2 linked regions of the Daphnia pulex genome follow. The protein of the gene in region 2 interacts with the protein of the main gene of each other region in a pairwise test. Links are inferred from orthologs where the notes say so. Each region holds a gene or a part of one and is shown on either strand. Other genes may lie near its edges.

Region 1 (3,919 bases), on a different chromosome or scaffold from region 2:
TCACATTGATGGGGCAGTAGCACCAAACAAAAAATGTGGCCAACTCAAACAAAAAAAGACCAAAGAAAAGATTCAATGGCGACCCGTTCACTTTGCCGCTGCCACTGGTTCTGTGCCGCGGACGGCAAGCAAATCAATACTAGCTGGCCAAGACTAGCCCAGTCACACTGTATTCCTCCTCCCTCCTTCTCAACTGTGCGTGCGTGAATGCGTGCGCCCCGGGATCTGCGCGCGGGACTGCCACGGTTCTCTATGTATTATTTGTTCATACACATGAGGCGTCGTCGTCGTTCCCCCCCTTTTTCTTCCCTTCTTGATTTCGGGATACCCAGCAACGACGAAGAAATTTCCAGATTGATTTTTCGTTTTCGCCTACACATTTCTTCTCCCGTTCTTCCTTCAGGGCTGTCCCGTCCGCCATTCTGTCCAAACGAGAACCTCACGCTAATCGATCGGGATCACGTACAGAGAGAGATACACACTCTGTGTGTGTGTGTGGGTATATGTACATAAATGGCGGACGACAGCGAAAATATTCCACGATTCTTGATCCAATTTTGTGAACGAGAAGGTTACGTGTTTTACAATTGAAAATTGACAAAATAATTCAACTTACCCCCGAAAACATGAACGACGCTTTCTGCAGGTCGTCCCGATATTCCTCCGGCTGCAAATTGAGAAAAAAGATCTGTTGGCATCCAACGGCGTGCAGCCCGTATGAAATCAACCCGCTTCGTTCCAATGGCCCACTTTGCACTCTGTAATTATAACGCCGATTGGTCCTTCGTGTACCAATTTGTTTTCTCTCACCCCCCACTCGACACACACACACACACACAGACACCGCGTCGTCGTCTACCCTCACGTTCGTGAAATGAAGAGATTATCAGCCGAATGTGGGACTCACTCTCTTGACGAGTTGGACGATCCGGTCAAGGCTATACCCACGGTAATTCTAAATGACTAAATCAAATGACGCCGGGAGCCAGACGACGACAACGACGCTCAAAGGTTCGATAATCAGATTTGGGGGAATGAAATATGTTATGACGCTGCGTTTCAAAGATGGCGGCCGTGAGAAAGTGGGCAAAGATAATAGAAGACTTAGGAAAGCAGACTGCGCAAGAGTCACGGCCAAAAGGACGGCAAACTTTGCAGAGAGAGAGAGAAAGTTCTCTTTATTGATCGACGCCTACTTGGTGTGCCGGGATGCGCGGTCCCGCAACGAAACGAAAGCCGTGGGGAGGGACCCTTTTGTGTTTGCCGGGTTGCAGAGGATGAGAGAGAGATGTTTGTCTATTGGATCGATGCGTGCAAACGTCCAGCTCCAGTTCCGCGCTTCCATTCAAGTTTTTCTTTTACCCCTTTCTCTCTCTCTCTCCGCATCCGGAACCACTCATTATGCCATCCCTTTCTTTTCGCGTTGTTGTCGTGATTTCTCTTTTGGGTGCACATTTCCATTTCCTTCATCTTCTTTTCTTGCTGATTTTCAAATGGCGATCAAACGATTCCACCCCAGAAATTTCACGAAAGGTTTCTATCTCCAACTGCCAAAAATGAAAAAAAATGAGAAATGAATGAGCTGCTTTATGTGCAAATAAATATCCATCACTATTGATTGGCTGCTGCGGGGAAAATCCGGGCCGTCAATATCCCCCTAAGCTGGAAAGAAGCACGCCAAGGTTGCAAAGGGATGGAAGAAAAAAAAAGTTGCCATTTTCTGTTTTATAAAAATAAAGATTCCCCTAACGGGAATCCCTCGAGGTATGCCACCGTCCATAACGTAAAAGACCTTTGATCCTAAATTTTTACCTCAGCTCGGTTTCATGGGGAAATGAATTGAGAGGGGGGAAATTTGGAGTGGTGTGAAGCCGGACATGTTCGAATCGCATTCCAGTGTACATCAGATCACTCAGCCGACACATACACCCACTTTAGACGATTCGGCTCGCACGTCATCTACAATCCGATAAAAAGAAAAAAAAAGGAAATAAAATAAAAAAATAAGAAGGAAACCAAGAATTGATGAGTCTCGCTCTGTTGTGAGTGCTGTTAGCAACGTGCATTAGCCCCGGCACGTCCTTGTGATCGATTCTTTTTTCCCATCCGATGAGTTCGCCTGGCTGCTTCTTTGTCTGTTTGTGACCGATGCGCCGATGTCGTCGTCGTCGCTCGGTTACTTTTTCTTTAGATTTATTCTTCCTTTTGATTCGACACTAAGCCAACAACATCTACATCAGAAAGTCAAGGAATAATAAATATTAAGCCGATATGACTGACGTCAAGTATACGAGCAAAGGGACAAGGAAATCCTTTCATCTTCCGTCCCCATAGACACAAAATTGGAAAAAAAAAATCCTCACGTTATTAAAGAATTATAACCGTACTTGAAAAATGATGATTGGTGCGGGCGGCCAAAAGAGGAGAGGACACAACGAAAAGGACAAGGTCAGAACCAACCTGAAACATGAAATCAAGTTGCCGGTTTCGCTGGTCTCGTTTAGCTCATAAATGATGAAGGTCGATGCTGAAAATAAAATGAAAAAAAAGGGAGAAATTATAACTGTAAAATCTTTTAAAAATTTCGCCTTTCCTGTTTGACATGTCTGCAGTATATTGAATGTTACAAATACACACACAACAAACCGGCACGCAGGGGAAGAGAAGGACTGTGAAAGTGTAATAAATTGGGGCTTTTTTTTTTCTTTTTCAAAAGTGTGCTTGGTGTTGCTAATGCAAATCTGACAGTGGCAAGGAATAAATACACCTGAGGGCCACAATAAAGACGAGTTAGCAAAAAGGTTTAAGAAGAGAATTTTACAATGAACGACACCTGGATTATTTCTGAAAGAAAAATATCAATTCAATTGAAAAAAAAAAAAAAATGGGGAAAGAGGAAAAACCTTCTGGAAATATCCGACTGAATAGAGGCGTTAATCTATTCCACCGATGGCCATCACGAGCAAATGCGCGATATTTAAGAAACAAAAAACGAATATTTTTAGGCAGATACGTGTGAAAGTGTATGTGTGTGTTTTGGTGGACGTCACAGACTACCGTAGCGTATCCATGGAGGAGGCCTATAAAAGCAAGAGCGAGCTTAATTGAAAAGGAGCTTTTGCTGCTTCAAAATTGGCGATAAAGCTGTTCCGTCTCTTTTCAAGGATCGTCGCCCTGTCCTGAAATTGGACCCTGTGGATAGGTCTCGTTAAGCGACATGGACTGCAGAGGACGGACCATGTTCAAATCGATGCCACCGACGGCCCCTTCTTCGAATTCCAGTCCCGCCTCAATAGCCTCAACGTCAATTATCGGAGGGCCGTTGTGGTGGAGTCCAGTCTCGACGATGTGGCCTACCAGCACAGGCCCCAAGGGACCCTCCGTCGTAGGAGCGTGCCCCAAGGGTAAAGGAAAAGGCAGCAGTGGATTGCCAGCCGCATCCAAAGCAGGATCGGCAGCTGCTTCCGCGAGATTGGTCACTGATTTTGATTTGACGCACTGCAATTAACAAGGAGGCCAGGATATACCAGAAAATCCAATCAGCCGAAATTGGCTCCATAAATTGCACGAGATTGTACCTGAAAATCAACATGTCGACTCTTGGCTTCTTCTTTCTCCCAGGACATGTGAATGAAAGGCCGCTGGACGTAATTGTAAATAACTTCGGCGCGCCCTCCTGGTCGCTTGCGCACTTTTTCCTTATAAGTCGGATAACCTTCGATTCCCAGACGTATCTTTTTAAGGCCCCGCTCTTTCAACACTTGCTTGGCCACGTCACGGTTCTCAATGTACTTGAAAAATCGATACATGGAGGTGCTGAAGACGGCTGCAAGACAAAACGGGAAATATTACGTTACGGCCATTCTTTAGAGGAAAAGGTGTTGAATTTCCAAGGATCTTACTTTGAGCATATTCTTCT
Region 2 (3,919 bases):
TATTTACTAATGTCAGAGACGGAATAACAGGGCTGGAGCTGCAGTTCCTGGAATGGCTCTTTGTCGTCTTTATTGCTATAGAGCTGTATCACAGGGAGATCGTTGTGGACTCCCAATTTGACAAACACTTTCTTCCAGAATCTGTGGTGATGTCCAAGAGTTGATTTCATTGCTTATAAAATTGAACAAAACAATGAAAATCACGTTATTTACCTCTGGCTAGTAATCTTCTTTTTGTTGGGTTGCCGCAACTGCATCTCCCAAATTTGACCGGTGTATTCCACGCGCGGGAATACTTCTAAAGGAACCGACTGATCTTCGTCGAAGAGAGGTGTCATAGGCGAGTCCTCTGAATCCCTGCGTACTACCGTCGACTTCCTCTCTGGAGGAATATACGGTTCGTCTATTGAAACGAAGAAATGAATAGTCAGAAACCGTTCGAGAAGCTAGGGAATGAAAATAAACTTACGTGCTACCACAGACACCTGTTCCGGAACCAAAAATGGATTCAGGCTTTTGGGAGGAGAATACTCGTCACTGCTGGTTGTGTGAATCGGAATTCTGGGTGGCGGTGCCAAAGCAGGGGCAAGTGCTAATCCTATTTTACCGTCCGAAAATCCCTCGCTACGAGGCCTTTAATAATGCCATCAAACTGTTAATCGAGTAATATGCGGTATACAACTTAAATCGCGTACTTGATCGAGAGAGCAAATTCCGGTTGTTCTTCGTCGGAATCGTGTGAGAGTTGACGATGAGATGACGGGAAACGTGGGCTTCCATGCGGAGGTGGTGGAGGCTCGGTTAGAGCCAAAAACGGATCGAAACCTTCGCTCGCTCCAAAGCCTAATAAGCTGCTTGATTCGGGTGTTCCAGTGGCAGTTCCCCATACTAAACCACAAATATGATTATTTTTTAAAACATTTATCCACGACAAATTGACGGATTTTAAATATAACTTACCGGAACTACCCTTGGCGCTGCCTCCAGCTGAAAACGGGTCGAACGGATCATTTTCAACCATCAACATGTCCTCTCTTCCAACGCTTTCAAAACGAGAAGAAAAAGCGTCAAACTCCTCAGGTTGATCGTTATCGCCCCGACTGGGAATAGCAATCGGCTCTGATTGCAAAGGGCTTTTTATCTCTGGATACACTAGCGTCGGAGTTTCCTGTGGCTGTTGATAGTTCATAGTCAACGATTCTTCTTCGACAGTTTGGGCCACTTCGACAGTCGGTTGAGCTACTACCAATGCTTCCTGTTCGAAGAGAGACGACTGAAGCGTAGATGGGGCTAAGACGAAAGATGTTTCCGGAGCTATCGGGCAGGGTGGAGCTTGCTGGTCCAGATCCACGAGAAACGTATTTTCAAAGACATCGCCCGCCAGCAAATCTTTGTTCTGCTCTTCTTTCTTTTCGAATAACTTTAAAATATCATTATTTGTGCGGGTCCTGGGCTTTGGAAGCCCCAACAAATCAATTTCTTCGGCTGGAGCAGCCTCCACCACTGGTTGCGTATTGGCTGGAGCTGATGAGAATGCTAAAGCCTCCAATTCAGATGTTGGAGACGGCTCACCAAAAATGCTGGCAAAACCTTTATCGGCTGGTGGAGGTTGTGGTTGTACCGACGAGGCCGTCGTTGGAGCTACCGGTCTTGGAGGTGGCCCGGGTGGTGTTGGCCTAGCTGGAAGTTGTTGAGGTCTTTGAGGGACAGCTGGAGAAGAGGGTCTCGATGTGGGGCGTGGCGGAGGACCAGTTGGATGTTCCCCTAAATGATCCCCTAAATGATCCCCTAAGTGATCACCTAAATGATCATCGTGGAGCAGGTCTACTTCGGCATGTTGAGTAGGACTCGGACACGGCGATGGTGAAGGAGACGGCGAGTGTGAATGCATGTGTGGGTGGTATCCTGGAACTGGACTGGGAGCTGTAGCTCTCAAACGGTCCAGCAAGTGTTCGGAAGTGGCCTGCATGGCTCCCGTAACGGATAGAATCAGCTGTTGAGTTTCGTGCGGGGGCGACGGTCTTGACGGGGGTCTAGGTGGTGGAGCCGGCCTGCCAGGTTTGGCATTGCTGAGGCTTTCCGGTATTGGAGAGGCCATTGGCGACGGAGTGGCGACTTCCAATATGTCAGCGGCCAATTCTTCTGGTAGCGGAACGTCAACCTCCAACAGATCGTCCATTAGCTGATGATGTTGTGGCACAGACGAAGCGTCGGGAAGATCGTATGGGCTGGCCATGTTATCTTGCATTTGCATGGCCCCGCCGGAGCTCAGCCAAGCAAGACTGTCGACATGTTCGTTGACCGATACTGGATCCGACTCCATGGTGGATGATGCAAAAGGATTGTAGACTGCATTGGCGCTCGACTGTTGTGGAACATCATCCATCAAGAATGGATTGCTGACGGCGCTCACACTCGCCGGAGCAATGTCAAAAAATGGATTCGACACTGCAGAAGGTGCTGGTGTTGTCGTTGATATAGCGAAAGGATTTATGGTCCCAGATCCCAGAACTGGATTGATGTCATCCATCATAAACGGATTAGCTGCCATTTTTAATTGAATTTAGAGCAAGTGAAAAGCGGAAAATTTAGTTGAGAATTTTTTCAACTGCCGAAGTGTCAAAAGGATCAACTTCGTCCTCAACTGGCGAGTCGTCAAGTAAAACAAACGATGTCACCTGCAACTGAGGTTCAACCGGAAGCACAGGTGACGAAACGGTAATACAAGTATTACCAGTGGCAGAGGTATTGACGGAATTAACTACCGAAGTGTCAAATGGATCGATTGCGGAGGTGTCGAACGGATCGATGGATGATGTGTCAAAAGGATCGACGGCAGAGGTGTCGAATGGGTCAGCAGCTGGAGACTTTAAAGGTTCCCGTTCAGACTTGTTCTCTGTTGGCTTCTCCTTTTCGGGTGGACTGTCGTTGAGAAAGAGAGCGTCAAACGAGTCTTGAGCTTGAAGAGGTGGGACTGTCGGATTGACTGGAGCTGACGGGCGAACCGGAGCGGGAGATGGTCGATCGATTTTAGCTGCAATAGCTGCGATTGCTGAGGCGGAAGGAGGTGGCGGAGGCCGAGAGGGTGGAGCGCCAGGCCGGGAAGGAGGAGCTTTCTTGGAAACAATACTAGTTTCGACTTGATCTTTCTTTAAAACTTTGTCGACAGAACTAGTGTCGAATGGATCGTCTCCCTCTTCTTCGTCTTCCTGCGGAAGTGGTTGTTTGGCCAACGACTGGTAAGCGAGAGCTTCGAACTCGAAATCCTCCTCGTCGAGAAGTTCTGGCTGCTTCTTAGGTTGCACGGGTGGATTTGGCTTGGGAGGCTTCACAAAATCTTCGTCGATTGGCTGATCGCTGCCCTCTGGAATGACGTCAAACTCGGCGAGGATATCTTTCAAGTCAGGTTCGACACTGGAGACCAATTCTTCCCCGAGATGGACTTCACTATGTGGTGTCTGTTGCACACTACTGGGTCCGGCTGAGTGGTTGGTCGAAGGCGTCACTCCCAACGAATTGCCTTGCAGCTTTTGATCGACCTCGTTGTCGTCGAAACAGCACAGCAACTGAATCTCGGAGGGCGGTTGAACGATTCGTTGTCGGCTGGCTGTAGACCCTTGGTGATGTTGTTTCTGTTGATGATCGGCAGCGTTGGCTGCAGTCAGAATCTCCACAGCAGCGCCGATACTAACTAGCGCTTTTTTCTTTTTAATCACGGGAAGTGGCCCGACAAGTTTCTCGACGTCTGACGTGTCAAAAGGATCGTCGCCGGCAGCAGCCTCAAGTGTTGGGCTGTCGGGAACGTAGGCAAGTTTCAATTCGCCACTAGTGGCGATATCAACGTATTCAGTGTTGAAAATGTCCTCGTCGTCTTCGTTTTCGTCTTGCTTTTCGAAATCTTGATTGAATTCCTCCGGCT

The links.
Region 1: the proteins of protein stoned-B-like (region 2) and synaptotagmin 1-like interact in binary tests that used the Drosophila melanogaster proteins (3 or more experiments, as listed by UniProt). The link is inferred for Daphnia pulex from reciprocal best matches to the Drosophila melanogaster genes stnB and Syt1.

The regions. Positions count from the first base shown.
Region 1 is NC_060019.1:9,141,119-9,145,037, forward strand, and holds the start of synaptotagmin 1-like, read right to left. Parts: upstream 2,500-3,919; 5' UTR 2,388-2,499; intron 2,232-2,387; 5' UTR 1,613-2,231; intron 1,548-1,612; 5' UTR 617-1,547; intron 238-616; exon of another isoform or gene 1-237. Other genes in the region: BTB/POZ domain-containing protein KCTD20-like, read right to left, coding at 3,160-3,498, 3,579-3,826, 3,903-3,919. UniProt on the Drosophila melanogaster protein: May have a regulatory role in the membrane interactions during trafficking of synaptic vesicles at the active zone of the synapse. It binds acidic phospholipids with a specificity that requires the presence of both an acidic head group and a diacyl backbone.
Region 2 is NC_060020.1:4,185,646-4,189,564, forward strand, and holds the start of protein stoned-B-like, read right to left. Parts: upstream 2,552-3,919; coding exon 961-2,551; intron 889-960; coding exon 696-888; intron 634-695; coding exon 470-633; intron 404-469; coding exon 214-403; intron 142-213; coding exon 8-141; intron 1-7. Other genes in the region: protein stoned-A-like, read right to left, coding at 2,589-3,919. UniProt on the Drosophila melanogaster protein: Adapter protein involved in endocytic recycling of synaptic vesicles membranes.